Linked DNA regions of Callithrix jacchus. The protein of the gene in region 4 interacts with the protein of the main gene of each other region in a pairwise test. Links are inferred from orthologs where the notes say so. Each region holds a gene or a part of one and is shown on either strand. Other genes may lie near its edges.

Region 1 (3,500 bases), on a different chromosome or scaffold from region 4:
AAAAAAAAAAAAGGAAAAAAAATTTTTTTAATTTCTTTTTTTTTGTTTCTGGAGATAGAGTTTTACTTCATTGCCCAGGCTGGATCTCAGCTCACTGCAAACGCTGCCTCCCAGGTTCAAGCGATTCTCCTGCCTCAGCCTCCCAAGTAGCTGGGATTATAGGCATGAGCCACCACATCTGGCTAATTTTTATATTTTTAGTAGAGATGAGGTTTCACCATGTTGGCCAGGCTAGTCTCAAACTCCTGACTTCAAGTGATCTACCCATTTTGGCTTCCCAAAGTGCTGGGATTACAGGTGTGAGCCACCGTGCCAGGCCCTAACTTATTTTATAAAATAGACACGGGGATCTCACTTCGTTGCCCAGGCTAGTCTCAAACTACTGGGCTCAAGTGATCCTTTGGCCTTGTCCTCCCTAAGTGTTAGGATTATAGATATGAGCCACTGTGCCCAGCCTGCTCATTACTCTTCTTTTTTTTTTTTGAGACAGAGTTTTGCTCTTGTTACCCAGACTGGAGTGCAATGGCACGATCTCGGCTCACCGCAACCTCTGCCTTCTGGGTTCAAGCAATTCTCCTGCCTCAGCCTCCCGAGTAGCTGGGACTACAGGCGCATACCACCATGCCCAGCTAATTTTTGTATTTTTAGTAGAGACAGAGTTTCACCTTGTTGACCAGGATGGTCTCGATCTCTCACCTCGTGATCCACCCGCCTCGGCCTCCCAAAGTGCTGGGATTATAGGCCTGAGCCACCATGCCCGGCCGCCTGCTCATTACTCTTAAGGGAAAGTATCAAGTTCTGAACTGACCAAGGCCTTGCACCCTGGGTCCTGTGCTCTGCAACACACTCAGGGCCCTTTATCTCTGTGCTCCAGCCTTCTAGCCTCCTCCTGTCCCCATCTCCATCTGCTGTCCTGCTGAGTGTCCACCAGCTACCATTGCACCCCACACACCTCTTCACTGGCCAACTCCTTATTCAGCACAAATGGTAGCTTGTTGTTTTTTCAGTCTTGCTCTGCTGCCCAGTCTGGAGAGTAGTGATCTCACCTCATCCTAACATCTGCCTCCTGGGTTTACGCAATTCTCCTGCCTCAGCCTCCCAAGAAGATGGGGGATTACAGGCACCTGCCACCATACCTGGCTAATTTTTGTATTTTTTGTAGAGACTGGGTATCGTCATGTTGGTCAGACTGGTCTCGAGTTCCTGGCCTTAAGTGGTTTACCCGCCTTGGCCTCCCAAAGTGCTGGGATTAGAGGCATGAGCCACCGTGCCTGGCCTAACTTCTTATTGCTAAGTTTCTTTCATGAATCTCCTTTGTCCATTTTCTGATTGGACTGCTGGTCTTTCCGTTACCAAATTCTATACACACATTATATATTAGGGATAGTACCCTTTTCTTGTAATCTGAGCTATAAATATAGCTTTTTTTTTTTTTTTTTGCTATTCGTAATGTTCATGTTATAAAGTCGATGAGTCAATCTTTTCCTTTATGGCTTCAAGATTTTGGATTTTGACTCATAGGTAGAAAGGCCTTGTACACTACAAGGTTATAAGGAATTTAATTCTCCCTTGTTTTCTCCCAGTTCCTTTATGGTTTCTTTATTTTTTTATTTTTTTGAGATGGAGTCTAGCTCTGTTGCCCTGGCTGGAGTGCAGTGGAATGATCTTGGCTGACTACAAACTCTACCTCCCAGGTTTAAGTGATTCTCCTGCCTCAGCCTCCCGAGCAGCTGGGATTACAGGCACGCACCACCATATCCAGCTGATTTTTGTATTTTTATTTTTTGAGACCGTGTTTCACTCTTGTTACCCAGGCTGGAGTGCAATGGCGCGATCTCGGCTCACTGCAACCTCCACCTCCTGGGTTCAGGCAATTCTCCTGCCTCAGCCTCCTGAGTAGCTGGGATTACAGGCATGCACCATCGTGCCCAACTAATTTTTTGCATTTTTAGTAGAGACGGGGTTTCACCATGTTGACCAGGATGGTCTCGATCTCTTGACCTCGTGATCCACCCACCTTGGCCTCCCAAAGTACTGGGATTACAGGTGTGAGCCACCGCGCCCGGCCCAATTTTTGTATTTTTAGTAGAGACAGGGTTTTGCCATGTTGGCCAGGCTGGTCTCAAACTCCAGACCTTGTGATCCACGCACTTCAGCCTCCCAAAATGCTGGAATTACAGGCGTGAGCCACCCATGCCCAGCCCTATGGTTACTTTTCTTGACATGCCGACAGGTTAGTGGCCTTCCCTGAACCCCAGACCAAGTTAGCGCTCTCTAGTCCTTCTTCAAGGCACTCCCCCAATTGCAATTACTTATGATTAAATTAAATATAGACGAGTGTATCCCCCACAAGGCTGTCAGCTCCATCCATGAAAGCAGGACTCAGGCTAATTTGGTCACTAAGTCTCATAGATGGCAAAGAGTAAGCACTGTGGACTGAATAATCTCTATCCCAGTCCACCACAGCCTCCTTACCCACCTTCCACACTGCCCTCCACAATACCCCCAATGAATTGGTACCTGCAGTAAAGTAGGGAGGCAAATTACTTCCTACTAGAAAGGAAAGGAGGGCTTCAAGTGGTGGGAGGCCACCTGAGTCTTGGGGGAAAAGTAGAATCTGAATTAAGATCAAAGCACCCAAGTTCTCCATCTCTCTAGGCCATGTGTGTTTCCTTTCACCAAAAGGTCTCATCATTCCACTGCTTACTACTCATGGCGGGGGGTCTTTTCTGCAATACCTGCTTGGAAGCTACTGCCCAGCTCTCCATTATGAATTTGAATCCTTTCCACCTCTGGATTCACCTGCTCTTGGTGCAGTCTCTGAGCCTCTTCCAGCTCCCGCTGGCTCCCCTCTTCCAAGTTCTTCCGGATAACCTCAGCCCCAGCCAAAGCTGCACGTAGGCCCTCAGCCTCGGCTCGGCCAGCCTTCTCCGCCCGTGCCAGAGCCTCCAGCTCCATGGCCTGGGCCTCTAGCCTCATCTTCTGCTGCAGTGAGGTCTCTCGCAGGAGCTGGACCTCCTCCTCTAGCCGCCGCAGCTCTTGCAGCTGACGAGAGATCAGCTCAGCCTGCTGGCTCAGGGCCTGTGACCCGTCCAACTCCCGGCACCTTCAAAGACAGGTTAGTGCAGATGAAACTTGTCTCCAGAGATGGAAGGATAGTTGAGAGCATAAACATAGTCAGGAGAAGCAAAAGACCCCTCTGCACTCATGTTGGGAGGTGAAGGGGGTGCTGAAGCTGGGGCATGGGGATGTCTGCACTTACACCATCATCATTCATCAAAGCCCTATTGAGCATGTTAAGTCCAGTGCCTGGACTCACAGGACCTAAGGTCTGGCTGAGATCATGAAACATGATCTCTCTAGAGAGCGCCACATACAGGCAGATTCAACATCAAATGTGTGTACCATTAGGCCACCACATTCTTTTTGTTTTTTGGTGTTTGTCTTATTTATTGTTTTATTTTTTAGGCCACATATTTTAAGTGGAAAAGTTGGACGAA
Region 2 (4,048 bases), on a different chromosome or scaffold from region 4:
GCTCCTTCCCCAGATTACCATCTTTGGTATTCTTACTTTTTAGGACCACCTGGGCCCTCATCTTGTACCTCTCAAACTCTTCCTTCAGTTGTTTCAGCTCCTGTTGGTAATAGAGTGCAGTAGCCTTCTCCCCATCAGCAGTCTCCGAGCTGGTCATTATCTCCAGGTCACAGAGCTTCTCCACATCCAGGGTCACCTGGCTTTTCCTGGCTGCAACCTGCAGCAGTCTCTTCAGCTTCTCCATTTTATCCTTCAGGACATTGACATCCAGACTAGACTCCTCTCCATGGCTGTCTAGAGGGGACCTGCTGGAGGCTGCTAGAGCCAGTGTCTTGTTCTCCAGGTCCAGCTGCAGAATACGCTCCTTCAGCTTCTGGATGGCCAGCTGGTCCTTCTGCTTGGCTTTCTCGTACGTGCCCAGCAGCTCCGACACCTCAGATATTTGATTCTCCAGGGCTGCCACCCTCTGTTCTTCCACCTGAGATTGCTGACGGAGTTGATCCTCTGCAAGAGCTGTCTGCAAAATAAGGGAAGAGAAATAATGCATCCACAAAAGCCCCACAGCAAACTTTGAGAAAGCAGGACAGGGGAGCAAAAGGGTCACAGGATTGGAATGGCCTGACAAGAATGGGAAATAGGGATTTTTCGGTTGATTCAGGAGCTAACAAAAGTTCCTATGACCTGCCTGGGTTCTGCAAGACATATTATACTAAAAAATATTAAGCACCTTGGCATATCTGCCATTCCATTCTGCTTTCCACCTAACTCACATATAATGTGTGTCACTGTTGTTTTTCAGGTGCTTCCTCAAATCTTAAGAAATCATACAAGATTTTTCCTTATCTAATATTCCTAGTAGTTCAAAACTGAGCTGGAGCTCCCTCACCACATTGGAAGGAAGCCCCCTTTCTCCACCAGAAAGGAGGCCTATTCTGGAAAATAGCATTTCTCCAGAATAGGCAAATCTTAAGTAAAGGCAATGACAAGAGGTTACTTCTGAGAAAATCCCCCTTTGCCTTCAGCCACCCTCCCTAGCGGCACATACCAACAGAAAATACACTACCTTTTACTGTACAGCTGCCACTATACTGCTTCATAGAACACAGCTGGTAAGATGCCAATGCCCAGAAGGGCAGGGCTGACTGGCTCCAACCCAGCCTACACTGAGAAGCTCCACATCCTCCTGGAAGCTTCTACGTCAACACCACATAAAACAGCACTTCCCGGGACTCACCAGTGGAACTTTTCAGGTAGCATCAAAAATGACAGTACAAACACTTAGCTCTCACTAGCAAAGGAGGAAAAAAACCCTAGTATTTCCCACTTCAGATCAATGACTATGTTTGAAAGAGAGGTGGATAATTACCTTTTTCATTTCCTGCTGTAACTGGGCCTGGAAATGGCCCTTAAGGCGGGCGGCCTCTTCCTGAAGTTCTTGCAGCCGGGGGTCTGGCTGATTCTTCTCATCTCGAATGGCCTGCAGTTCACTTTTCAGCTCCTCCACCTCACGGGTCAGCTGCTTGGTCTGAAGTTCAAATCCTTCCATCTGTTCAGCTGCATATGATCGTCCTGCCAGGGCTTCTCGGGTCTCTTCTAACCTAAGCTCCAAGTCCTGGCGCTGGGTCCTCTCCTCCTGCAGCAGCTTCTGGAGCTCACGCAGCATCAAGGCATGGTCACTCTGCTCTTGGGCCCGATCATGCTGCTGCGTGATAAGCCGGGCTTTGGTTTCTGCTATTTGCTCCTGCAGCCCCTTCAATTCTCCCTCCAGGCGAGCCCTCTCCTCCTCTGCCTTGTTATTGGCATCCTCTAAGTCCTGTTTCATCTTTTTCTTGTCAGCCAGGTAAGAAGCCTCCATGCGGGACTTCTCCTGAGTGACTGTGGCCAAAGAACTGGTCAAAGTAGCCAACTGAGTCTTCAGCTGGTGCAGTCTTTTGTCCACCTCCCCACCCGCAAATGGCCCATCCCCACTGCTACTGCTAACACCACTCTCTGACCCACTGGCCTCTTCGGACTTCGGAGGTGGTGGTCCACGGGCTGGTCTGTCATCTTCTATCCCAAACTCGCCCTTGGTGCTGGTGAGACTGGCTGCCGTATCCACGCTAGTGGCGGTCCCAGTGCTATCCTCACTGTGAGTGGAGCACCGGTCATCCACAAAGTCCGGAAAGGCGACGCCTGGAAGCTGGACACCTGCGAGGCCCACATCTGCCTCGTGGGATACCGACAGCACCTTGATGCTGGCCTCTAGCGCCTCTTTCTCCTTCAGCAGGCTTTTATAGGCACGGACCACATCCTTGAGCCGTGCCTGGTACTGGAAAAGCTGCTTTTTCTGCGTCTCTATAGTCTCCAGCAAGTCTTTCTTGCTCGGGCCGCCACCGAAATTCATAGCAAACTTCTCCATGAAGGTTCTGAACGGACTGCTCCACTTCAGCTTTCCAGTAGCCCAAGAGAGGGCTGCGAAGAGGCAGGCAAGGGCTTCAAGAAACAGCCAGCGGGCTGTCCGGCGGCGGGCCGCACACCTGCTGCACCCAGTTATCCCGGACCTAATGCGGATAGGCGGAACCTACAGACAAAAGTGCCCGCCTGGTCCCAAGCCCGGAGGGTGGGGCGGGTACTACCCTGGAGGCGGGGCGACGCTGGCACCAGAGGCGCGCTCGGCCAGGGCTCGTCCGCGCTGGCCCAGAAGCCGCTCCACACTCTCCGCTCTGTCCAGGCCACAGGAGCCCGGGCCGGCCCCGCTCGGCCCACGTCGGTCAGGTGCTCACGCAGAGCGGCGTCCCATCACGATTTCCTAACTACAACTGCCTGCCCACTACCGCGCTTCCGTGTCCGCTGGAAGTGACGTCAGCTAGGCGCCGCAAGCCCCGCCCCCAGTGGGCGCGAGTTAGGCGGAGCCCAGTCCGCCAGTGGGTGGGCGCGGCCTGTTGAAAACGCAGTAGGGTAGCGAGCGGCCAACAGGTTTGGGAAAGGAGAAACAAGCAAAGCCGAAAACATCAGAGTGGTCTGGGTTTTGTGAGAGCGCCTAAGCTTGACCTCGGGCTACGATCAGCGAGCGACAGAGGGCAACGTCGCACAGCGTTCTTAACAAACACCTAGGTGAACGACGCATCCAAGGATTTGGGGGCTCAGGTCCCATATCCCTAAAAGGCAACAATTAAAGACTTGCATATAGACCGCGAAAACTGGAGTACTCTAGCACAAGGCTTGGCACCTAGTAGGTATACAGCGTAATAGTCAGTACGCTTCCTTAGTTCTGCTGAGTTGATTCAACAAATATTTATGGAGGGCACTCTATAGCCGTGTCTATCCTGAGTGCCAGCTATGTACAAGGAGCGCACAAGAGTTTTGCTATTTCGTCTTCACGATAATTATTATAAGCACTATTTTCATTAGCACTATTTTACAAATAGGGGAACATGAGGCAAAAAGTTATACGTAACATGCCCAAGACCACAGAGCTAAGAAGTTTAGTTCTATCTGAATCAGTCTGATTCTCAACGTATTATGTGTTGTACCAGACGATAACACCATTAAGAGATACGACCTTGCTTTCAGGGAACTCACAATCTAGTGAGGAACTAGACATGCAAACATGTCCTGCTATAACACCGGTATGTATTGGTATATTCAAAGTGGTAGGAAAGTTAAGAGAGGAAAGAGGCCTGGCTCAATGAAGAATGGAAGGCTCTTGGGAATAATACTTTGGGATTTGAAGTATGAGTCCTGATTGTCCACCTAACCAGAGATCAGGGAAACCAGCATTCCAGGCAGGTGGGAAAAAAATGCAAAGACCTGTAGGGTATCAGAGTTTGACTCACCCAGAATGCATTCAAAAGTTTAGGGTATGTGAAGGAGGGGACAACAGAGGGGCTGGCATGAGAGGCAGGGACCCAACTTATGGCATTTAAATTTTATCTTGGGTGATAGTAAGGCCCTAATGGATTTTAATCTGAAAAGTGGAATGTCATCAAGGTTTGTATGACATGGTGGAGGGAACAAGGGGCAGGAGACCTGTGAAGAGACTCAGTCATGGGGAAGAGAAGGTAGTGAC
Region 3 (4,232 bases), on a different chromosome or scaffold from region 4:
AAACGCTGTACAAGAGACTGGAAAACAAGCTTCCAACAGAATATAAACTCATGCTACCTTCTTATTGATTTAGGACGCTCTCCCACCCCCATGCCTGAAGCAACGTCACTTCAGGTCTCTGAGCACAGCTGGCCAAGGTCACCAGGTTCCAGGAGCTCTGGAAATGACGACCTCACTCTTAAATGCTCGGCCCTTGCCTTGTCTGAGGCACAGAAGAAACTGAACCGTTTAGGTGGCTGTGGACTGCGGAGCCCTTCTCTGTCCAACACACCAAAAGGGGTGAGAAAAACAAATGAGAAACGTCCCCCAAACACACACACACACACCCCCAAAACCAACACCTATAAGCCACAAACTGGTGCTCCTCCCCTGCTGCGGCAGTGGGCAGGAGAAACAAGAAGAGAAAGTGTTTCTTCCCCTCTCTCCTGATATATAACCCCATGGGGTCCTCTTGCTAGAGAGAGTGACCCCAGATCACAGCGGGGCCACCATGTGCCCCTGCAGGATGTCCACGAGGTCCTGAGCCCCTCTCTGCAGTGCCAGCTCCAGGGGTGTGAGCCCCCTGGCATCCCTGCGATGGAGATCAGATTCAGCCGCCAGAAAGTTGACTACAGCAGTGTGACCTTCTTGCACCGCCAGATGAATGGGAAGTGCCCCGGTGCCATCAGGCGCGTTGACATCAGCCCCATGCTCCACTAGGACCTTCAGGGTATCCAGGAATCCAGTGCGGGCTGCGTCATGGATTGGACTGGTACCAGAGGTGTCCTGGACATTGGGGCTGGCACCTTGCTTCAGCAGCTCCAGGGCGATGGTGGTGCTGCCAAACATCATGACCTGTGTGAGGGACAGAGGATCAGGAGGTCTTCGAGGGAAGGGGTTCCAAAAAAGGGGTCACTGGAGAGAGAAGGGTCATCCAGAAAGAGGCATCTCCTAGGAACAGGATATGCCAGAGGAGGGGTCCTCTAGTGAACGGGGAAGCTGCATAAGCCCCCTGGGAACTGTTTGAGAACGCAGAGAAAAAGTTCTCCTGGGAATAGAGAACCCTTTCCTCCCCGCCCCCCCACCCCCCCACCGCCTGTCCTCACCCCAACCCGCCAGAAGCTGGTCACTCCCTTAAGAATAATATCAGTCCCCCAACCCAGAGAACAGCCCCCATGGAAATTTTCAAGGAACCTGACTCTCCTCCAAGGGACCAAAGACACCCCAGATATGGGCAATCACCAGGAAATATAAAATCCCCTCCAGGAAATGGGCCCCAAGAGACTGAGAACTACCCCAAAGAACTTGACAGTCCTCAAAAGGAAAAAGAGATGCCAAAGAAAAGTGAACCCCACCGCCATTCTCCAGGAAATAGCCTCCTCCTATATAATGATGATGTCACTTCAGGGTACCTGAGAGCTCCTTTCAAAAAACAGGATTCTGACCAGTGCAGGGCTCACGCCTGTAATCTTAGCACTTTGGGAGGCTGAAGAGGGTGGATCAGCTGAGGTCAAGAGTTCAAGATCAGCCTGGCCAACTTGGCGAAACCCCGCCTCTACTAAAAATACAAAAATTAGCCAGGCGTGGTGGCAGGGGCCTGTAATCCCAGCTACTCGGGAGCCTGAGGGTGGAGAATCGCTTGAACCAGGGAGGTGGAGGTTGCAGGGAGCCAAGATCGTGCCACTGCACTCCAGCTTCCATAAAAAAAAAAATTAAAAAAAAAAAAAAAAAGAGAGAGAGAGAGAAAAGAAAGGAAAGGAGGATTCCAAAAGCAGTAAGAGAAAGGAGACTCCTCTGTAACACGTCTCCCAAGGGAATATAGGGACTCTTACAATCTGACACTGTTTCTCCTCCGGGGCCCCCACACTATACCAAAGATCCGCATAAACTTTGGGAATTAAGATCCCACCCCCAAGTAACCAAATATGTCTCAGAGAGCCCCCTACAAAATGAGGAACCCCTGGAGACCGGACCTCTCCTTCCAGAGATCGGATCTTCCCATAGAAGCCCCCAAAAATGTGAGCCGTCCCCAGGGAAAAGGCATCCAAAGAAGCTGAACCCACGGAATAGAAAACCTCCCCAGAGAAAAAGAATCCCCTGCACTCAGAGAACCAGGAATCCTCCCAGAGAAGAATCTGGAAAGCTATCCCCTCCCCCTCCAACCTAGCCTCACCCACCACCCACCTTCGAAAGGGGACCATGGGGGAACAATAAAAGCCTAGAGAAGAAGGACCGGTCCCCAGTAGGTTGCACCACCAGGGCCAAGAGACCAGAGGAGAGGGGCTCTGGGGTCTCAACACTCACCTCGCTGAGCCGCCCCGCCCCGCCCCTGACTTGAGCCAGCCCGGCCTCACCTGCAGCGCCGTCTTGCCAAAGCGGTTGAGGGCGTCGGGATGCACCAGCTCGCGATGCAGAAGGCGGCGCACCTCCTGCACGTCGCCCCGGGCCGCGGCCCCACTCAGCCGGTCGCCGGCGCAGACCTCCTCCAGCAGCATGTCGACAATGACGGCCTGCGAAGTCCCCCACCCCGCCCCAGCCAGGCGCCGTCAGCACCGAGGAGCCGGCGGGCGCTGGCCCGAACAGCCCTCCCGGGGCGCGGCCGCGGTGCGCCTCGCTGCGCTGCACTCCCGGCCCGGCTCCCCAGCCCGAGACCCCGGCCCTCCCAGCGGGCTCCTCCCCCTGTCAGCCGGCCCCCGGTGGGGGGCCGGGAGTCCGGCCCAACCCTCGGCCGCCCGCGGGGCCCTGCCCGGCGCCCGCCCCTTGGGGGCCGGGTCTCCCCCCAACTCACCCTCCCTCCTCCTAGCCGGGCGGGGTCTGCTCTGAGCCTGCGCCGCCGCAGCAGCCAGGGCAGCCGCCAGGGGGCGGAGCCAACGTGCTCCCGGCCCCGCCCCGAACTCCGGGGATTTGTTTTCTTACAAATTCGCTACTGTGTAACGATGCCGCTTTGCCTGTGGCGCAACCTTACGGTGCTCCGCCCACAGGACCTGCGTAACCAATGGATTGGCGTCGCCGGGGTAATTTCGGGCTCGGGGTGAAAGACGTCGCTCCTGTTTGGTCAGAGCGCGGCAACCGGTGGCCTGCCAGCAATGGCGGGGTTTTCGGTTTTCAAATGTACTCGGCGGGCGGGAAAGACGGTCGGTTTAACTGACCCAGGGGGAAAGGTCAAGGACAGGGTAGAGCGGGAAAGACGGTCGGTTTAACTGACCCAGGGAGAAAGGTCAAGGACAGGGTGGAGCGGGCTGCTCCGGGACCTCGGCGCCTCCTGGGGGAAGGGAGGCAGGGCTGGGGCCACCCAATCTGGGGTTCCACTACTAATAGACATTGATTGGCCCTTACTACACGCTGGGCGCTTTATTTCATTAACTCATCTTTTCCTGTGTGCAGGGAGCGTTCTGGGTGCTGCACGCGCACATTCAAGCAACTAAATAATATTAGCGTAAAGCACAGTGAAGAAAGGGAGATGGGGAGACGGGGTAGAAGAGGAAGGGATCACCCTGCCTGGCTCACACTGAGCCAGGAGGAAAGGAGCCTGCAGTTGCCACGTGAGAAGGCCTGGGAGGACAGAGTCGCAGACAGACAGGGACTCAGAGGTCTTCGCTCAAAGATTTATTTGGCACCACCTAGAGGTGCCAGAGCGGAGAGCATGCCAGGCAGCCCCTGCTGTAGGGACACCTATGGTTTGGGGCCGGAGACAATAGTTAATTTTTATTTATTTTTGAGACACGGTCTCACTCCCATCACCCAGGCTGGAGTGCAGTGGCGAGATCACAGCTCACTGCAGCCTCAACTTCCCGGGCTCAAGTGATCCAACCGCCTCAGCCTCCGGAGTAGCTGTGACTAAGGACGCACCACCACGCCCAGCTAATTTGTATTTTTAGTTCAGATTGGGTTTCACCATGTTGCCCAGGCTGGTGTTTTTGGTTGGTTTGTTTTTTGTTTTTAAATACAGATTTTTTTTTTTTTGAGACCTAGTTTCGTTGTTGTTACCCAGACTGGAGTGCAATGGCACAGTCTCGGCTCACCGCAACCTCCGCCTCCTGGGTTCAAGCAATTCTCCTGCCTCAGCCTCCCGAGTAGCTGGGACTACAGGCGCGCACCACCATGCCCAGCTAATTTTTTTTTTTTTTTTTGAGACGGAGTTTCGCTCGTTACCCAGGCTGGAGTGCAATGGCGCGATCTCGGCTCACCGCAACCTCCGCCCCCTGGGTTCAGGCAATTCTTCTGCCTCAGCCTCCTGAGTAGCTGGGATTACA
Region 4 (3,500 bases):
TTTTAAAACATTAAATTCAGCATGCAGTGACTCAAAATTGGTCTAAACGAATGAAGTTAGATTGAGTTGTTTCAAGATAAGAATCCTGGATTCTTCCTTTCTACAAGATGTCGTGGGGGCTTAAAAAATCAGAAATGGGTCCTCTGTTTCCCCCTTATTGGCTTCCTTTTGGAAAAAGAGGTTTGACTAGAACAGTTGTAGGAGGGCAAGCAAGAGAAAGCAGGAACATAATCTCAATGTAGAAATAATCTAAAACAAGGATTTTTTGTTTTGGCTTGGACAATTTCAGAGGATATAATACATGCTGGATCAGGGCTATATTCAGAAGTGACTATTAATAATGCTGATACGGGGGGAACGAACCAAGATGGCTGATCGCTAACATCTCGGGATTGTAGCTCCCAGTGAAAGCACAGAGAACGAGAGGACACCACACTTTCAGACAAATTTTGATGGCTCATGGAGCAGAAGATTCCCAGTGGAGGAGCTGCATGGGTTGCCAGCACGACTCTTGTGGCCGGCGCAGCAGTTTTGCTGGCACCTCAGCGCAGCAGCTCTTGGTGCAGAGTAAACGGGACTGGTTCCCCTTCTGACCAAGGTTTGGAGGAGGTGCATGGGTCATCAGCGCGACTCTTGTGGCCGGCGCAACAGTTTTGCCGGCACCTTGGCACGGCAGCTCTTGGTGCAGAGTAAACGGGACTGGTTCTCCTTCTGATTGAGGTTTGGAGCTCCGAGAAGGCAGAGTCGCCTATTATGGATTCAAGAAGGAAACCAGATTGGAGATTCCCAGGCAGAAAAGCACCATCAGTCTTAACACCACTGTTTTGGCCGGCGCAGTGGGTTGCTCATATTTCGGCCCTGGGAATTAACAACTTGGACGTCCACTCAGAGACCTAATTTGAAAGTTGGTAATTACAAAGACAACAGGTGGATAAATTTACAACAATGGGAAGAAACCAGCGTAAAAAGGCTGAGAATACTGAAAATCAGAATGCCTCTCCCTCTAAAGAGGATTACAGTTCCTCATCAACAAGGGAGCAAGGCTTGATGGAGAACGAGCGCATCCCATTAACAGAATCAGGCTTCAGAAGATGGATAATAAGAAACTTCTGTGAGTTAAAAGAACATGTTGTAGCCCAATGTAAAGAAACTAAGAAGTTTGAAAAAAGTTTTGACGAAATCCTAATGAGAATAGACAGCTTAGAGAGGAATATGAGTGAATTAATGGAACTGAAGAATACAATACGGGAACTCCAAGAAGTATGCACAGGTTTAAACACTCGAATTGTTCAAGCAGAAGAAAGGATATCAGAGGTCGAAGTCCAACTTAATGTAATAAAATGAGAAGACAAGATTAGAGAGAAAAGGATAAAAAGGAATGAGCAAAGTCTCCAAGAAATGTGGGACTATGTGAAAAGACCAAATTTACGTTTGATAGGTGTACCTGAATGTGATGGAGAGAATGAATCCAAGCTGGAAAATACTCTTCAGGATATTATTCAGGAAAATTTTCCTAAACTAGCAAACCAGGACAAAATTCAATCCCAGGTAATACAGAGAACACCACAAAGATATTCCTCAAGAAGAGCAACCCCAAGGCACATAATCGTTAGATTCACCAGGGTTGAAACGAAGGAGAAAATACTAAGGGCAGCCAGAGAGAAAGGTCAGGTTACCCACAAAGGGAAGCCTATCAGACTTACAGCAGATCTCTCAGCAGAAACCCTACAAGCCAGAAGAGAGTGGGGGCCAATATTCAACATCCTTAAAGAACAGAACTTTCAGCCCAGAATTTCATATCCAGCCAAACTAAGCTTCATAACTGAAGGAAAAATAAAATCTTTTATGAACAAGCAAGTACTCAGAGATATTATTACCACCACGCTTGCTTTACAAGAGCTTCTGAAAGAAGCATTACACATAGAAAGAAACAACCAGTATTAGCCTTTCTAAAAAATGCCAAAAAGTAAAGAGCATCAACATAATGAAGAATTTACATCAATGAATGGATAAAACAGCCAGTTAACATCAAATGGCAGTAACCCTAAATTTAAATCAACTAAATCCCCCAATCAAAAGATACAGCCAAAACCCAACGGTATGCTACATACAGACCCATTTCACATGCAAGGATACACAAAGACTCAAAAAAGGGAAGAAGAAAGATTTACCAACCAAATGGAGAGCAAAAATAAATAAATAAATAAATAAAAAGCAGGAGATGCAATTCTCGTATCTGATAAAATGGATTTTAAAGCAACAAAGATATAATGGTAAAAGGATCAATGCAACAATAAGAGCTAATGATCCTAATGCCCAGATACGTAGAGACTTAGACTCAATGAGATAGAAAATTAATAAGGATATCAAGGACTCGAACTCAGATCCGGAACAAGTAAACTTAATAAATATTTATAGAGCTCTCCACTTTAAATACACAAAATATACATTCTTGTCAATACCACATCACACCTACTCATAGGTTTAAATGAAATATTGATTGGCCATTATTAATACCCATTTTTTTTAGAATAAAGCAACATTTCCGTTCTCTCTCCCTCTTTTTCTTCCTCTTTCTTCCTCTCCTTCACTCCTTTTTTATTCTTTCCTTCTCTCAAAAAAAAAAAAAAGAAAAAGAAAGAAAGAAATCAACTGTAGACCTCTAGATCCTGGTCGTCAATGTCTCTCTCATTGCCTGATTTCCTTCCTTCCCTTCTCTCCCCCACTCCCTCCCTTCCTTCCCCCGTCCCTCCCTTCCTCCTTTCCTCCCTTCCTGCCTTCCTCTCTTCCTACAAAAATAAAAATAAATAATAATAATGCTGATATAACCCTTGAAAGCCAACTACATTTCTCTGGCACTGTATTCCCAAGAAGGGATATAGGGAGAAAGTCATTTTTCCCATTTTGTAGTTTTTAAAATTGACAACTATAGAAAGGCAGTGAATTTTCTATAGATGAGACAAACAGAGCCACCTGAAGCCTGTGAGGGTCAATGCAAGCCCCTTCCCTGCAGCCCGTCCCTGGGTAGGTCAGCTCACCTTTCAGCTCCAGTCCATCCACTTCCACTTTGTTTCGAAGTTTCAGCTGCCCGCTGGGGTTCTTGGTGGCCCCAAATAACTCATAGAGTATGTTCTTCTTGACTGGACATGCAGGTTTCTTGGGTGGTAGGGGAAGTGATGCAGTGCCCACTGGGTCACAGCAACCCTCCTCACCACAGGTGTCCTTCTGGCTCTGGGGCCACTGGCTGAGAAATAGGCTCTCTCGACCCTTTGTTGGCTTCTTGGTGCCAGGGCTCCATTCTATAGGAAGAGAGAAACTGAGTTAATGCCTCTAGAAGGCTAAGCACTGAATGCTGGAAGCACCATTTTGTGGATTAAATGATGAATCCTCTGTAATACACACCTGAGGCTTGGGCCACTCTGGGGGACTCTCTTTCAGCCAAATACAATCCCAATCTCTCCCTGAAATCTTCCATGGCTCCTGCCTATTCCGATCCCCCA
Region 5 (3,892 bases), on a different chromosome or scaffold from region 4:
AAAAAAATATTAGCCAGGGCATGGTGGCACAGGCTTGTAATCCCAGCTACTTAGGGGGCTAAGGCAGGAGAACCACTGGAACCTGGGAGGCAGAGGTTGCAATGACATGAGATGGCACCCACTGCACGTGAGCCCGGGAGACAGAGCGAGACTTTGTTTCGAAAAAAGAAAAGAAAAAAGATTTCCATGTACTCTGTGCTTGTTTTGGGCATTATCTTTGATACCCCATACTGCAGTATTTTTCTTGCTTGTAGATAGGTTACATATGTTGTAGTCTGGGTCAACTGCTCCTCTTTCTCAAAAGACTTCCTTCCAGAGTGTGGTTGGCCTTACTCTTTGAGTTTGGACTTCAGGTTCCATGTACCACCCTGGTGGGAAGGGCATTTTTCAGCTCTCCTGTGATATCATCTCTTTCTTCCCAATGCCCTCTACCAGTTGTTCAGCAAAAGGCAGCAATTCTGCTGTATTTTATGTGAACCTGTGAATCAATCATTTGATCTGGTTTCTCCATTTACTTGCAGTGCACATAACTAATTCTGCTGGTGAATTAGTCTGCTTGTCTGTATATGTCGTCAGTTTGGCCTCACACTTGACTGGTATTTACTTTGAATTAGCAATTTAGGAGGGCCGGGCGCAGTGGGTCAAGCCTGTAATCCCAGCACTTTGGGAGGCCGAGGCGGGTGGATCACAAAGTCAAGAGATCGAGACCATCCTGGTCAACATGGTGAAACCCCGTCTCTACTAAAAATACAAAAAAAATTAGCTGGGCATGGTGGTGAGTGCCTGTAGTCCCAGCTACTCAGGAGGCTGAGGCAGGAGAATTGCCTGAACCCAGGAGGCGGAGGTTGCGGTGAGCCAAGATGGCGCCATTGCACTCCAGCCTGGGTAACAAGAGCGAAACTCCATCTCAAAAAAAAAAAAATTAGGAGCAAAATGATAACTCCGTGGACACTAGAAGCCATTGCTATCTATAAGTGAACTGCCACATTTCATCATGACAAATAGTGGAATAAATATAACAAGAAAATGTGCTTGCTCTAACCTGACTAAAACTTACATTCCTCTGTGTTCAAGGCACCAAATTCACATGCATCGTCCTGCCTGGTAGACACCTGATTTTTCAAACTGCCTGTGAAAAATCATGTAAATTTTTTGAGAGATCTGAAGTTTAATCTTAGCTCTCAAATGTATTTGGTATATTTATTAATGTCTTACTACCTCCCTCATCTGTAAAAGAGGGAAAATTACTATTGCATATATTTTTTAACACATATTAAATAAATTTGTCATTTTTGTTTTTGTTTTTCAGCCACAAAAAAGCCACACCCAAGACCACCTGACACCCATCCTGTCAAGTGTCCATGATGCTGGGCCCTGAGGGAGGTGAGGGCTTTGTGGTCAAGCTCCGTGGCCTTCCCTGGTCCTGCTCTGTTGAGGACGTGCAGAACTTCCTCTCTGACTGCACGATTCACGATGGGGCCGCAGGTGTCCATTTCATCTACACTAGAGAGGGCAGGCAGAGTGGTGAGGCTTTTGTTGAACTTGGATCAGAAGATGATGTAAAACTGGCTTTGAAAAAAGACAGGGAAAGCATGGGCCACCGGTACATAGAGGTGTTCAAGTCCCACAGAACCGAGATGGATTGGGTGTTGAAGCACAGTGGTCCCAACAGTGCCGACAGCGCCAATGATGGCTTCGTGCGGCTTCGAGGACTCCCATTTGGATGCACAAAGGAAGAAATTGTTCAGTTCTTCTCAGGGTTGGAAATCGTGCCAAACGGGATCACATTGCCTGTGGACCCCGAGGGCAAGATTACAGGGGAAGCATTTGTGCAGTTTGCCTCCCAGGAGTTAGCTGAGAAAGCTCTAGGGAAGCACAAGGAGAGGATAGGGCACAGGTACATCGAGGTGTTTAAGAGCAGCCAGGAGGAAGTTAGGTCATACTCAGATCCCCCTCTGAAGTTCATGTCCGTGCAGCGGCCGGGGCCCTATGACCGCCCCGGAACCGCCAGGAGGTATATTGGCATTGTGAAGCAGGCAGGCCTGGAGAGGATGCGGCCTGGTGCCTACAGCGCAGGCTATGGGGGCTATGAGGAGTACAGTGGCCTCAGCGATGGTTATGGCTTCACCACCGATCTGTTCGGGAGAGACCTCAGCTACTGTCTCTCTGGAATGTATGACCACAGATACGGCGACAGTGAGTTCACAGTGCAGAGCACCACAGGCCACTGTGTCCACATGAGGGGTCTGCCATACAAAGCGACAGAGAACGACATTTACAACTTCTTTTCTCCTCTCAATCCTGTGAGAGTCCATATTGAGATCGGCCCAGATGGAAGAGTGACGGGCGAAGCAGATGTTGAGTTTGCTACTCATGAAGAAGCTGTTGCAGCCATGTCCAAAGACAGGGCTAACATGCAACACAGATACATAGAACTCTTCTTGAATTCGACAACAGGGGCCAGCAATGGGGCATATAGCAGCCAGGTGATGCAAGGCATGGGGGTGTCTGCTGCCCAGGCCACTTATAGTGGCCTGGAGAGCCAGTCAGTGAGCGGCTGTTATGGGGCCGGCTACAGTGGGCAGAACAGCATGGGTGGATATGACTAGTTTTGTTAGGAACATTTGAGTTATTTCAATCAAATTTTACACAGGCAGCCAACAAGCAGTTAAGAGCAGTTATAATAGAGGAAGCTGTGGGACCCATTTTGCACCATGAGTTTGTGAAATCTGGATTAAAAAAATTACCTCTTCAGTGTTTCTCATGCAAAATTTTCTTCTAGCATGTGATAAGTAAACTAAAACTATTTTCAGCTTTTCTCGATTAACATTTTGGTAGTATACTTCAGAGTGATGTTATCTGAGTTTAAGTAGTTTCAGTATGTTAAATGTGGGCCTTTTACACCACATCACTGAACACACTGGGGAGACGTGCTTTTTTGGAAAACTCAAAGGTGCTAGCTCCCTGATTCAAAGAAATATTTCTCATGTTTGTTCATTCTAGTTTATATTTTCATTTAAAATCCTTTAGGTTAAGTTTAAGCTTTTAAAAAGTTAGTTTTGAGAATTGAGACACAATACTAATACTGTAGGAATTGGTGAGGCCTTGACTTAAAACTTTCTTTGTACTGTGATTTCCTTTTGGGTGTATTTTGCTAAGTGAAACTTGTTAAATTTTTTGTTAACTAAATTTTTTTCTTAAAATAAAGACTTTTTCACAATGACTGGCACACATTATCTGCTCAGCAAAAGATAGCAAAATGGGTGGTTGAAGATAATTCATTTTAATCGTAATGTATTTTAGTGTGAATTTAAAAATAATTTCATACATCAAATCTATGATCTCCCTTATATTCTTATGAGGCTAAATAAAAGTCTAATAAAAATGTTAAATATGTGAATGGTGGAAATGGTGACTAGAAACACACATTCCGGGAAGCATCAAATGGACACATGCGGCCCCAGCCACCTCTAATGTGCATGGTTCTAAACCATTTGGAATTTCCTACTAGGCCCTTTGATGCTGGAGTCACAGGTGATAGCTAGAGAGCTTAAGCCAGTTTAGTTTTTATAAAATCTAGTGATTTACTTTTTTCTTGGATCAGGCTCATGATTTTTGTGAGGATGTATTTGTGAATTAGGTTATGGCAGGATACATCAAGCTTGAGACCCGTTTTCAAACTGCTAGCCACCTTAGCAAAAGAAAGCTGTGCTTAAATTCAGGCAGTTCTATGTATAGCACACAGTATTACCTTTTTTTTTTTTTCACATGGAGTTTCATTCTTGTTGCCCAGGCTGGAGTGTGATGGCACAATCTTGGCTCACCACAACCTCTGCCTCCTGGGTTCAAGTGATTCTCCTGCCTCGGCCTCCCAAGTAGCTGGAATTAGAGG
Region 6 (4,251 bases), on a different chromosome or scaffold from region 4:
TGGCTCGTGTGCAGGTTACAGAAAAAGCTGAGAGGCTGAAGAAGGAGGGGACCTGACCCTACCCTGAAAACAGGGTACATGAGATGGAGGAGGCGGCATGTGACAGAAGGGATCCGTCACCCATCATAACACAAAGTCAAGGCTGAGTAAAAAAAGTATCAGCTTAGGCCAGGGGCGGTGGCTCAAGCCTGTAATCCCAGCACTTTGGGAGGCCGAGATGGGTGGATCACGAGGTCAAGAGATCGAGACCATCCTGGTCAACACGGTGAAATCCCGTCTCTTCTAAAAATACAAAAACTTAGCTGGGCACGGTGGCTCGTGCCTGTAATCCCAGCTACTCAGGAGGCTGAGGCAGAATTGCCGGAACCCAGGAGGCAGAGGTTGCAGTGAGCCGAGATCACGCCATTGCGCTCCAGCCTGGGTAACAAGAGCGAAACTCCATCTCAAAAAAAAAGAAAGTATCAGCTTAAAGGGCACGTTAAAGCCCACCCTGGGCAACAGGTGTGGCAGCTCATGCCTGCAACAACTACTAAGGAGGCTGAGGGTCACCAGGGCTGGGTAGAGTCTGTGGAACACAGGGAGATCCTATCTCAAAAACAAATGAAAAGACCAGCTTACTTAGAGCTATGGAGAAGGACCTCAAGAAACCAGGCTTTGAAGAATGGGGCTGGGAGGTGGGGCAGGGGACACTGCTTTTCATGTAAGTCTTCCACTGACATGGCTGCTGTATACACTATGTTGATTAAAACACTGAATGGATGGGGTGTGTTTTTTAAGAACATCAGCTTAGAGAGACTGAACTGGAGCCCTGGCTCTGTGCATCTGCACACATGCCCTCAGCATCTGCAGCCACATCACCTCATCTATGGAGTGGGGGTCACGGTGAAGGATGCAAGATGTTGAGCTGCCCCCACAGCCTGAAGCTCTTTTTTTTTTAAAGATTAAAGCCACAGCCTGGGAAACAAGGCGAAACCCCCCCCACTATACAAAAATTAGCCAGGTGTGGTGGCACCTGTGGTCCCAGCTACCTGGGAGGCTGTGGTGGGAGGATCACTTGAGCCAGGGAGGTTGAGGCTGCAGTGAGCCAAGATCACCACACTGCATTCCAGCCTGGCAGACAGTTAAAATCCTGCCTCCAGAAAATAAAAACATTAAAACCAGTGAGCACAGAATCCAACATTGCTGAGAAACATTAAGTTTGCCCTGGCCCCGTGGCTCCCTTGTGGAGAGGACCTTTCAGTTAGTGGTAAGCGGGTAACAACTGCCTACCTGGAATATTTCTTGAGTTGTAAGTAAATACAGAACACCTGTTTATTAACAATAATCACCTGTTAACATGTGGATCGGAGCCTGCTGGGGGCCTTCAGCCTGGAATGCTGTCAGCCCCGAGGCTCAGCTCCGTAGGCTATGGGCCCCGCCAGACCCTCGATGCTCTTCTACCTGGGCGTCTTCCCACTGCCTCCAGCGCAGCCTGGGTGGAGGTCTCCCTGCCCAGTGGTACTTGCTGCAGCTTATGAATATATTCTTATTTGAATTGCAAGGCAGGGGAAATGCACCTACATACAGTTTCACCTCGTTTCGGTGTTTTCTTCTAGCACTGGGTATTTGCGAGCTGCGGGCGAAATGACCAGATCTAGTTTTAATTTGATGTTTTCTGATCTTCCTCAGAACCACTCACTACTCCGAGCTATTTTTCTGTCCCCCAAGAACTTCCAGCTACAAGTGTACCCTAAGACTGCCTCCTCTTATCGGTTATTTATTGCAGCGCAAGTTCCGCCAACGCCATCAGGCCCTGGAGTACATTCCCGGGCAGACAGGCAACTCCAAACAGAGAATGACCGGCTCCACATCAACTGTGCGGCCCGGGCCTCCCCGGGGAGGGTGCGAGCTCGCCACCGTTCAGAGCCCACACTCGTGCACCTGCTCACAGTTCTTCAGGGCTGATGTATCTCCCCAAGAGCAAGACAAGCCCTGCCACGTCCTCAGGGAAAAACCACAGTCCCCTCCAGCAAGGCACTGTCTCCAGTGCGCTCACACAGTGGGGATGGAACGTCATCTACTTTCTGCACCCCAGGGAAAAACAAACGGCCCCCTTTTTAGGGGCTGCACCACAGAACTCGCACACAGGCGCTGAGGAGGGGGCCCCCGGGAACGGGCTGGGGTCCTCGCCGAGCTCGGCGGCAGCCCTGAGATCGCCCGTTTCGCTGCGCGCCGGAGGCTTCCGCGTGCAAGTCCTGGGCTACTGGGGCTCCTGTCCACAGCCATGGAGGAGGCACAGAAACGGTGCCCGTCGCTCACGGCTGGCTGGCAGGAGCCACCCCCGAGGGAGACCTCGGTCCCCCGAGGAGCACGGGCGCGGTTCTAGGCCTTTCCAGTCTCCCCGCCGCGGCCCCGGAGCAGAGATCGGGAGCTCGAGGCCCCCGGGCCGGGCTACGGCAGCCGCGGCCCAACGGACGCCGGGGCGCGGCGGGGCAGGGGGTGCGGAAGCGAGGAAGCGGGAGCCCCTCTTCCGGGGCGCGGCCAGGGACGGGGAGCGAGGAGCTGGGGGCGCTCGCCCGGCCCAGACAGTTGGCGGCGGCGGGGCTGCGGCGCGGACGGCCCGGCGGGCGGGAGGGGGAGGAGGAGGAGGAGGAGGGAGGAGGGAGATCTCGCTCTCGCTCTCGCCCCGCGGGAAGGGGGAGGCGGAGGCGCGACCGGCTGCGGGAGCTGCAATTACCGTGTGGGCTGCGGAATTCTCGTGGTGTTTGTCGGGGAGATGCGATAATGGCGTCCGTCCTCGCGAGAGAAGCCGCCGCTCTGCGCAGGCGCCGCGAGCCCCTCCCCGCGACGCTCGGCCCCCGCCCTCCGCGCAGGCTCACTGGGCGCGCAGGCCCGGGGGTGGGGCCGGGGCCGGGGCGGGGCGTGCGGGCGGCGAGGCCCACTACGCGCACTTTTCCCGCTCGGCCTCCCGGTGAGCATGCGCAGGCTGGCTTCTCCCGCGACGGTATCGGCTTCCCAGGGCTTTTTTCCCCCCGTTTTTCGCCCACGCGCCTGGCCTGCCTGAGAAAACTCATCTCAGTGGACTGTCTGAAGAATTTGCATCTTCTTTGAGATGGAATGAATAGGCATTAGCTTCCTCAACGACTACATCTCCCAGGGTTCCCTGCGCAAGCTAGGAGCGATGCATTCTGGGACTCGTAGTGCCTTCGTCTGGACCCTGCCTGCCGGGACTTGTAGTCTCTCCGGACTCCGGTCGCGGCGTCCAGTCCCCGCACCAGGGGCTGCTGGGACTTGTAGTTACAATGATTCAGGTGGGCTGTGCGCCCCCAGCGGGTCCTACTTGCTGCTGCGACGAGTCCTGCCCTGAGGTTCCGGAGCGCTGGGAGGCGTGTTTCCAAAGATGTAAGTGGTCAGGGGTCCCCATTGTCCGTCCAGAGGGGCCTGAGTTCACGCGCGCGCGGGGGGGTAGCACACACAGTAGTGATTATGGTCTTAGACATTTCCTACATGAAACACATGCCTAAGTGATGGCGGCCAGGCGCCGTGGTCACGCCGGTAATCCTAGCACTTTGGGAGGCCAAGGCGGGCTGATCACTGGAGGTCACCGGTTCGAGACCAGCCTCGCCAACATGGTGAAAACCCGTCTCTACTAAAATTACAAAAATTACCTAGATGTGGTGGCGCAGTCCTGTAATTCCAGCTACTTGGGAGACTTACGCAGGAGAATCACTTGAGCCCAGGAGGCAAAGATTGCAGTGAGCCGAAATCTTGCCGTTGTACTCCAGCCTGGGCGACAGAGTGAGACTCCGTCTCAAAAAAAAAAAAAAAAAAAAAAAAGGATGGCATCGAATGTGCACACGTTATATTTTATGTAGAATAAATGTGCAAATGTGCATTTGTGGTAATCCTAGGAAAAAATTCCCAAAGTATAGGGCAATTCCTGGAAATGTCATTCCTGGTTATCTCCCTCTGTTTAACTGGACTGCATTGCCTTTCATTTCTTCTTTACACTCGACTCTGTTTTCCGAATTATTTGCAATGAGCAAGAATGCCTTTGATCTCCCAAACCCAGGGCAAGGGAGCTGTTTTCACTGGGAGAAGAAAAGGCTTTACCTTGATAAAACCAGGACTGAGCGCAGTCACAGGCCGTGCGACCATGGGCAACCTTACCGAGTCAAAGTCTCCTCCAGAATGAGGCCCAGAGGTTCCACTGAGGCTGGCGGCTGGGTTACTCACAGCAAAAGAACCTTACAAACACTCCAAGGAGGAGCC
Region 7 (3,500 bases), on a different chromosome or scaffold from region 4:
TGACTCACTGCAGCCTCCGCCTCCTGGGCTCAAGCGATCCTCCCACTTCAGCCTCCCAAGTAGCTGGAACTACAGGGGTGTACCACCATGCCTGGCTCATGTTTTGTATTTTTTGTAGAGACAGGGTGTCACCATGTTGTCCAGGCTGGTCTCAAACTCTTGAGCTCAAGCAATCTGCCAGTCTCAGCCTCCCAAAGTGCTGGGATTGCAGGCATGAGCCACCGTGCCTGGCCTGTTTGTTTTTGAGATGAGGTTTTGCTCTGTTGCCCAGGCTGGAGTGCAGTGGCATGATCATAGCTCACTGAAGCCTCGACCTTCCAGGCTCAAGCAATCCTCCTGCCACCAAGGCTACCCGGATTTTGTACTTTTTATAGAGGTGCAATTTTGCCATGTTGCCCAGGCTGGTCTCGAACTCCTGGGCTAACGTGATCCACCAGCCATGGCTTCCCAAAGTGCTGGGATGTACGGGCATAAACCACTACACCTGGCCTATTTTTTTTTTCATGAGGTTAGTTTAGTTAGAAAGTTGGTTAAGGCTGGGCTCACACCTGTAATATCAACATTTTGGGAGGCTGAGGCGGGTGGATTGGTTGAGCCTGGGAGGTTGAGCTGCAGTGAGCAGTGATTGCACCCTCACAATCCAGCCTGGGCAACAGAGTGAAACCCTATCTTAAAAAAAAGGAAAGAAAAAGAAAAAAGAAAAAAAAGTTGGTTAAATGTATAAGTAAATATGCAGAAAAAATATTTTATGGAGATATGTAAAAATATTAATATGGTTTCTGTGGATATAGAGATTGATGGCAAATATGAATCATATATTTTTTTATCCTTTCTATGAGAAAGAAGCAAGCAGACTTTAAAAAAAACTACCTCATAAGCAGAAAAAGTTACTTCAACAGCAAAAACATCCATTCATATGAAGCTCTGGAAAAGGCCAAACTATTGGGATGGAAAACAGATCAGTGGCTGCACGGGCCTGGGGGACCCTTTGGTAAGGTCACAAGACTGGATACAACTATCTCCATTAGTCGAATTTCAAGGAGAAAGTTACTCTATGTAAGTTACACCTCAATAAACCTGACTAAAAAGAAAAAGGTAGGAAAAAACCAATCAACAAACAAAGCCAATTCCTGATTCCTTAAGCTATTTATGGTGCAGAGCTTTAGCTGACCCAGGAAAGCAGGGATCTGTCCCCTTCCTAAAGGGCCACTTTGGTGTTTGGAAGCTGACATTGAAAGGAAATAAAGAGCTAGCAATAACTAAAAATCAAGTTCACTGGCCAAGCCTGCTTCCTCACCACCACTGCCATGCCAAGGTCCCGGGCCAGGGTCTTCAGCTCTCGGGCCAGCTGCATCATCAAGGCCAAGCCTGCAGGAGGAGGAGAAGCAGAGAGGGAGGGCAGCGGGGAACCAGGGATGGGGCTGGCCAGGGGCCAGAATCCAGAGCTGGGAGGCGAGGTCACATTCCACTGACCCCAGGCTCTGCCACATCACTCACCTTCCCTCTGCTGACCTCCCAGAAGTGGGGAGACTACCGCAGTGACTGAGTCCACGACCACCACCTTCATAGTTCCTGAAGAACCAGTCACCTGAGGGAATGTGGGGGAAGCACTCACGAACCTCTTGGCCTCTAGGACACATTACAGGACAAGCCTGCTCTTCTGTCTGAAACTAGTAAGAAATAACTGTCCCCCACCCTCGTGGGGGTCTAGGGGAGGGATAGCAGGGGGTAGGGAATTGGGGAGGGATAACATTAGGAGAAATACCTAATGTAGATGACAGGTTGATGGATGCAGCAAACCACCATGGCACATGTATACCTATGTAACAAACCTGCACATTCTGCACATGTATCCCAGAACTTAAAGTATAATAAATAAATTAAAAAAATAAATAAATAACCCCCCTCATCCCAAATACAGCTAGCTGCATCACAGAACGTCATCAGCAGCAATGTCTCCCTCATCCCATTGGTATGTATAACAGACTTCACTGAAGACTTGAGTCGAAATAAAGGATTTAAATCACAGGACATCAAAACTAAAGTGGCCAGGTGCAGTGGCTCACACCTGTAATCTCAACACTTTGGGAAGCCACGGCAGTGTATCACTTGAGATCAGGAGTTCGACACCAGCCTGGCCAACATGGCGAAACCCTATCTCCACTAAACATACAAAAATTAGCTGGCTGTGGTGGTGCACACATGTAATCCCAGCTACCTGGGAGGCTGAAGCAGGAAAATCGCTTGAACCTGGGAGGTGTAGTTTGCAGTGAACTGAGATTGCACCACTGCACTCCAGCCTGGGCAACAGATCAAGACTCTCAAAAAAAAAAAAAAAAATTTAAAACCATACTAAAGTCATCACATTTCAGAAAGCCCAATGTAGTCCTGAGGCCTTTCTGGTCATGGATCTCTCAGCAGCCATCTTTCTCCTGCATCCAGCCTCCCACCATAGTGGTAGGCCCTTCTCTTCCTTTGCTGACTCCCCACCTTCTTTCTCCTGTCCTGCTAACTACCACCCTTAAATTTCTAACTTCCTTTGCTGAAGAGTTTAGCCTTCTCTTTACTCCACTGTCTCCTTCTAGATCATGACTCCAGGCCTCATCTTCCATATCTAAAATGCCTCCAAATAAATTCCCTAAGTCTTGCTCTGTCACCCAGGCTGGAGTGCAGTGGCATGATCTCAGTTAACTGCAACCTCTCTCTATGGGTTTAAGTGATTCTCATGCCTCAGCCTCCTAAGTAGCTGGGACTACAGGTGCACACTACCACATCCAGCTAATTTTTGTATTTTTAGCAGAGACGGATTTTACCAAGTTGGCTAGGCTGGTCTCACACTCCTGGCCTCAAGTGATCTGCCCACCTTGGCCTCCCAAAGTGCCAGGATTAGAGGCATGAGCTAGCATGCCCAGCCTGGTGCCATCTTTGTAACCATAATTTCCTGTCTTTACACACGCAGGAGCATCCTCCTGGTTTCCCTGGATTTAAATTGTTTTTGTTGCTTCTTTTCTCTTCTCCCTTACTTCTTATATCCTGATTCTGGTTCTCTCTCTCTGTCTCTCTCTTTCTTTTTGTAGACAGGGTCTCACTATGTTGCCCAGGCTAGTCTTGAACTCCTGGGTTCAAGTGATCCTCCTGCCTCGGCCTTCCAAAGAGTTGGGATTATAGGCATGAGCCACGGCTCCCGGCCTCAGATTCTTAACCCATAGAAACTGTGAGATAAGAAATACATGTCTTAAACCACTAAGGTTTTGATAACTTATTATGCAACAATAAAAGATATGCCATCTCATGGTCCTGTAGTACAAAATATAGTCTTCTGATCTGGAATGGAGAGGACTTGGCTGTAGGGTTAGTTCTTGTCCTAAATATGTTGTCAACTTTGGTCAACTCACTTCACTTCTCTGGCCTTCACTCTTCTCATCTCTAAAAGTGAGATCAGTACTACTCAGCTTCATGTCTCAACAAGCTGGTGGGTCATAACCAGCTATGACCTATGA

The links.
Region 1: the proteins of C7H1orf94 (region 4) and CCHCR1 interact in binary tests that used the Homo sapiens proteins (3 or more experiments, as listed by UniProt). The link is inferred for Callithrix jacchus from reciprocal best matches to the Homo sapiens genes C1orf94 and CCHCR1.
Region 2: the proteins of C7H1orf94 (region 4) and GCC1 interact in binary tests that used the Homo sapiens proteins (3 or more experiments, as listed by UniProt). The two-hybrid records come from large-scale screens. The link is inferred for Callithrix jacchus from reciprocal best matches to the Homo sapiens genes C1orf94 and GCC1.
Region 3: the proteins of C7H1orf94 (region 4) and CDKN2D interact in binary tests that used the Homo sapiens proteins (3 or more experiments, as listed by UniProt). The two-hybrid records come from large-scale screens. The link is inferred for Callithrix jacchus from reciprocal best matches to the Homo sapiens genes C1orf94 and CDKN2D.
Region 5: the proteins of C7H1orf94 (region 4) and HNRNPF interact in binary tests that used the Homo sapiens proteins (3 or more experiments, as listed by UniProt). The two-hybrid records come from large-scale screens. The link is inferred for Callithrix jacchus from reciprocal best matches to the Homo sapiens genes C1orf94 and HNRNPF.
Region 6: the proteins of C7H1orf94 (region 4) and BANP interact in binary tests that used the Homo sapiens proteins (3 or more experiments, as listed by UniProt). The two-hybrid records come from large-scale screens. The link is inferred for Callithrix jacchus from reciprocal best matches to the Homo sapiens genes C1orf94 and BANP.
Region 7: the proteins of C7H1orf94 (region 4) and RAD51D interact in binary tests that used the Homo sapiens proteins (3 or more experiments, as listed by UniProt). The two-hybrid records come from large-scale screens. The link is inferred for Callithrix jacchus from reciprocal best matches to the Homo sapiens genes C1orf94 and RAD51D.

The regions. Positions count from the first base shown.
Region 1 is NC_133505.1:35,974,947-35,978,446, forward strand, and holds part of CCHCR1 (coiled-coil alpha-helical rod protein 1), read right to left. Parts: intron 3,107-3,500; coding exon 2,803-3,106; exon of another isoform or gene 2,769-2,802; coding exon of another isoform or gene 2,739-2,768; intron 1-2,738. UniProt on the Homo sapiens protein: May be a regulator of keratinocyte proliferation or differentiation.
Region 2 is NC_133512.1:119,386,003-119,390,050, reverse strand, and holds the start of GCC1 (GRIP and coiled-coil domain-containing protein 1), read right to left. Parts: upstream 2,801-4,048; 5' UTR 2,399-2,800; coding exon 1,367-2,398; intron 518-1,366; coding exon 1-517. UniProt on the Homo sapiens protein: Probably involved in maintaining Golgi structure.
Region 3 is NC_133523.1:9,744,341-9,748,572, forward strand, and holds the start of CDKN2D (cyclin-dependent kinase 4 inhibitor D), read right to left. Parts: upstream 2,801-4,232; 5' UTR 2,768-2,800; intron 2,490-2,767; 5' UTR 2,475-2,489; coding exon 2,334-2,474; intron 835-2,333; coding exon 475-834; 3' UTR 1-474. UniProt on the Homo sapiens protein: Interacts strongly with CDK4 and CDK6 and inhibits them.
Region 4 is NC_133508.1:70,756,120-70,759,619, reverse strand, and holds part of C7H1orf94 (uncharacterized protein C1orf94 homolog), read right to left. Parts: intron 3,300-3,500; coding exon 3,039-3,299; intron 1-3,038.
Region 5 is NC_133513.1:36,076,449-36,080,340, reverse strand, and holds the end of HNRNPF (heterogeneous nuclear ribonucleoprotein F), read left to right. Parts: intron 1-1,309; 5' UTR 1,310-1,361; coding exon 1,362-2,609; 3' UTR 2,610-3,392; downstream 3,393-3,892.
Region 6 is NC_133521.1:45,581,185-45,585,435, reverse strand, and holds the start of BANP (protein BANP), read right to left. Parts: upstream 2,801-4,251; 5' UTR 2,717-2,800; exon of another isoform or gene 1,329-2,716; intron 1-1,328. UniProt on the Homo sapiens protein: Controls V(D)J recombination during T-cell development by repressing T-cell receptor (TCR) beta enhancer function. Binds to scaffold/matrix attachment region beta (S/MARbeta), an ATC-rich DNA sequence located upstream of the TCR beta enhancer.
Region 7 is NC_133506.1:99,061,352-99,064,851, reverse strand, and holds part of RAD51D (DNA repair protein RAD51 homolog 4), read right to left. Parts: intron 1,630-3,500; exon of another isoform or gene 1,589-1,629; coding exon 1,498-1,588; intron 1,369-1,497; coding exon 1,298-1,368; intron 666-1,297; coding exon 549-665; intron 1-548. UniProt on the Homo sapiens protein: Involved in the homologous recombination repair (HRR) pathway of double-stranded DNA breaks arising during DNA replication or induced by DNA-damaging agents. Bind to single-stranded DNA (ssDNA) and has DNA-dependent ATPase activity.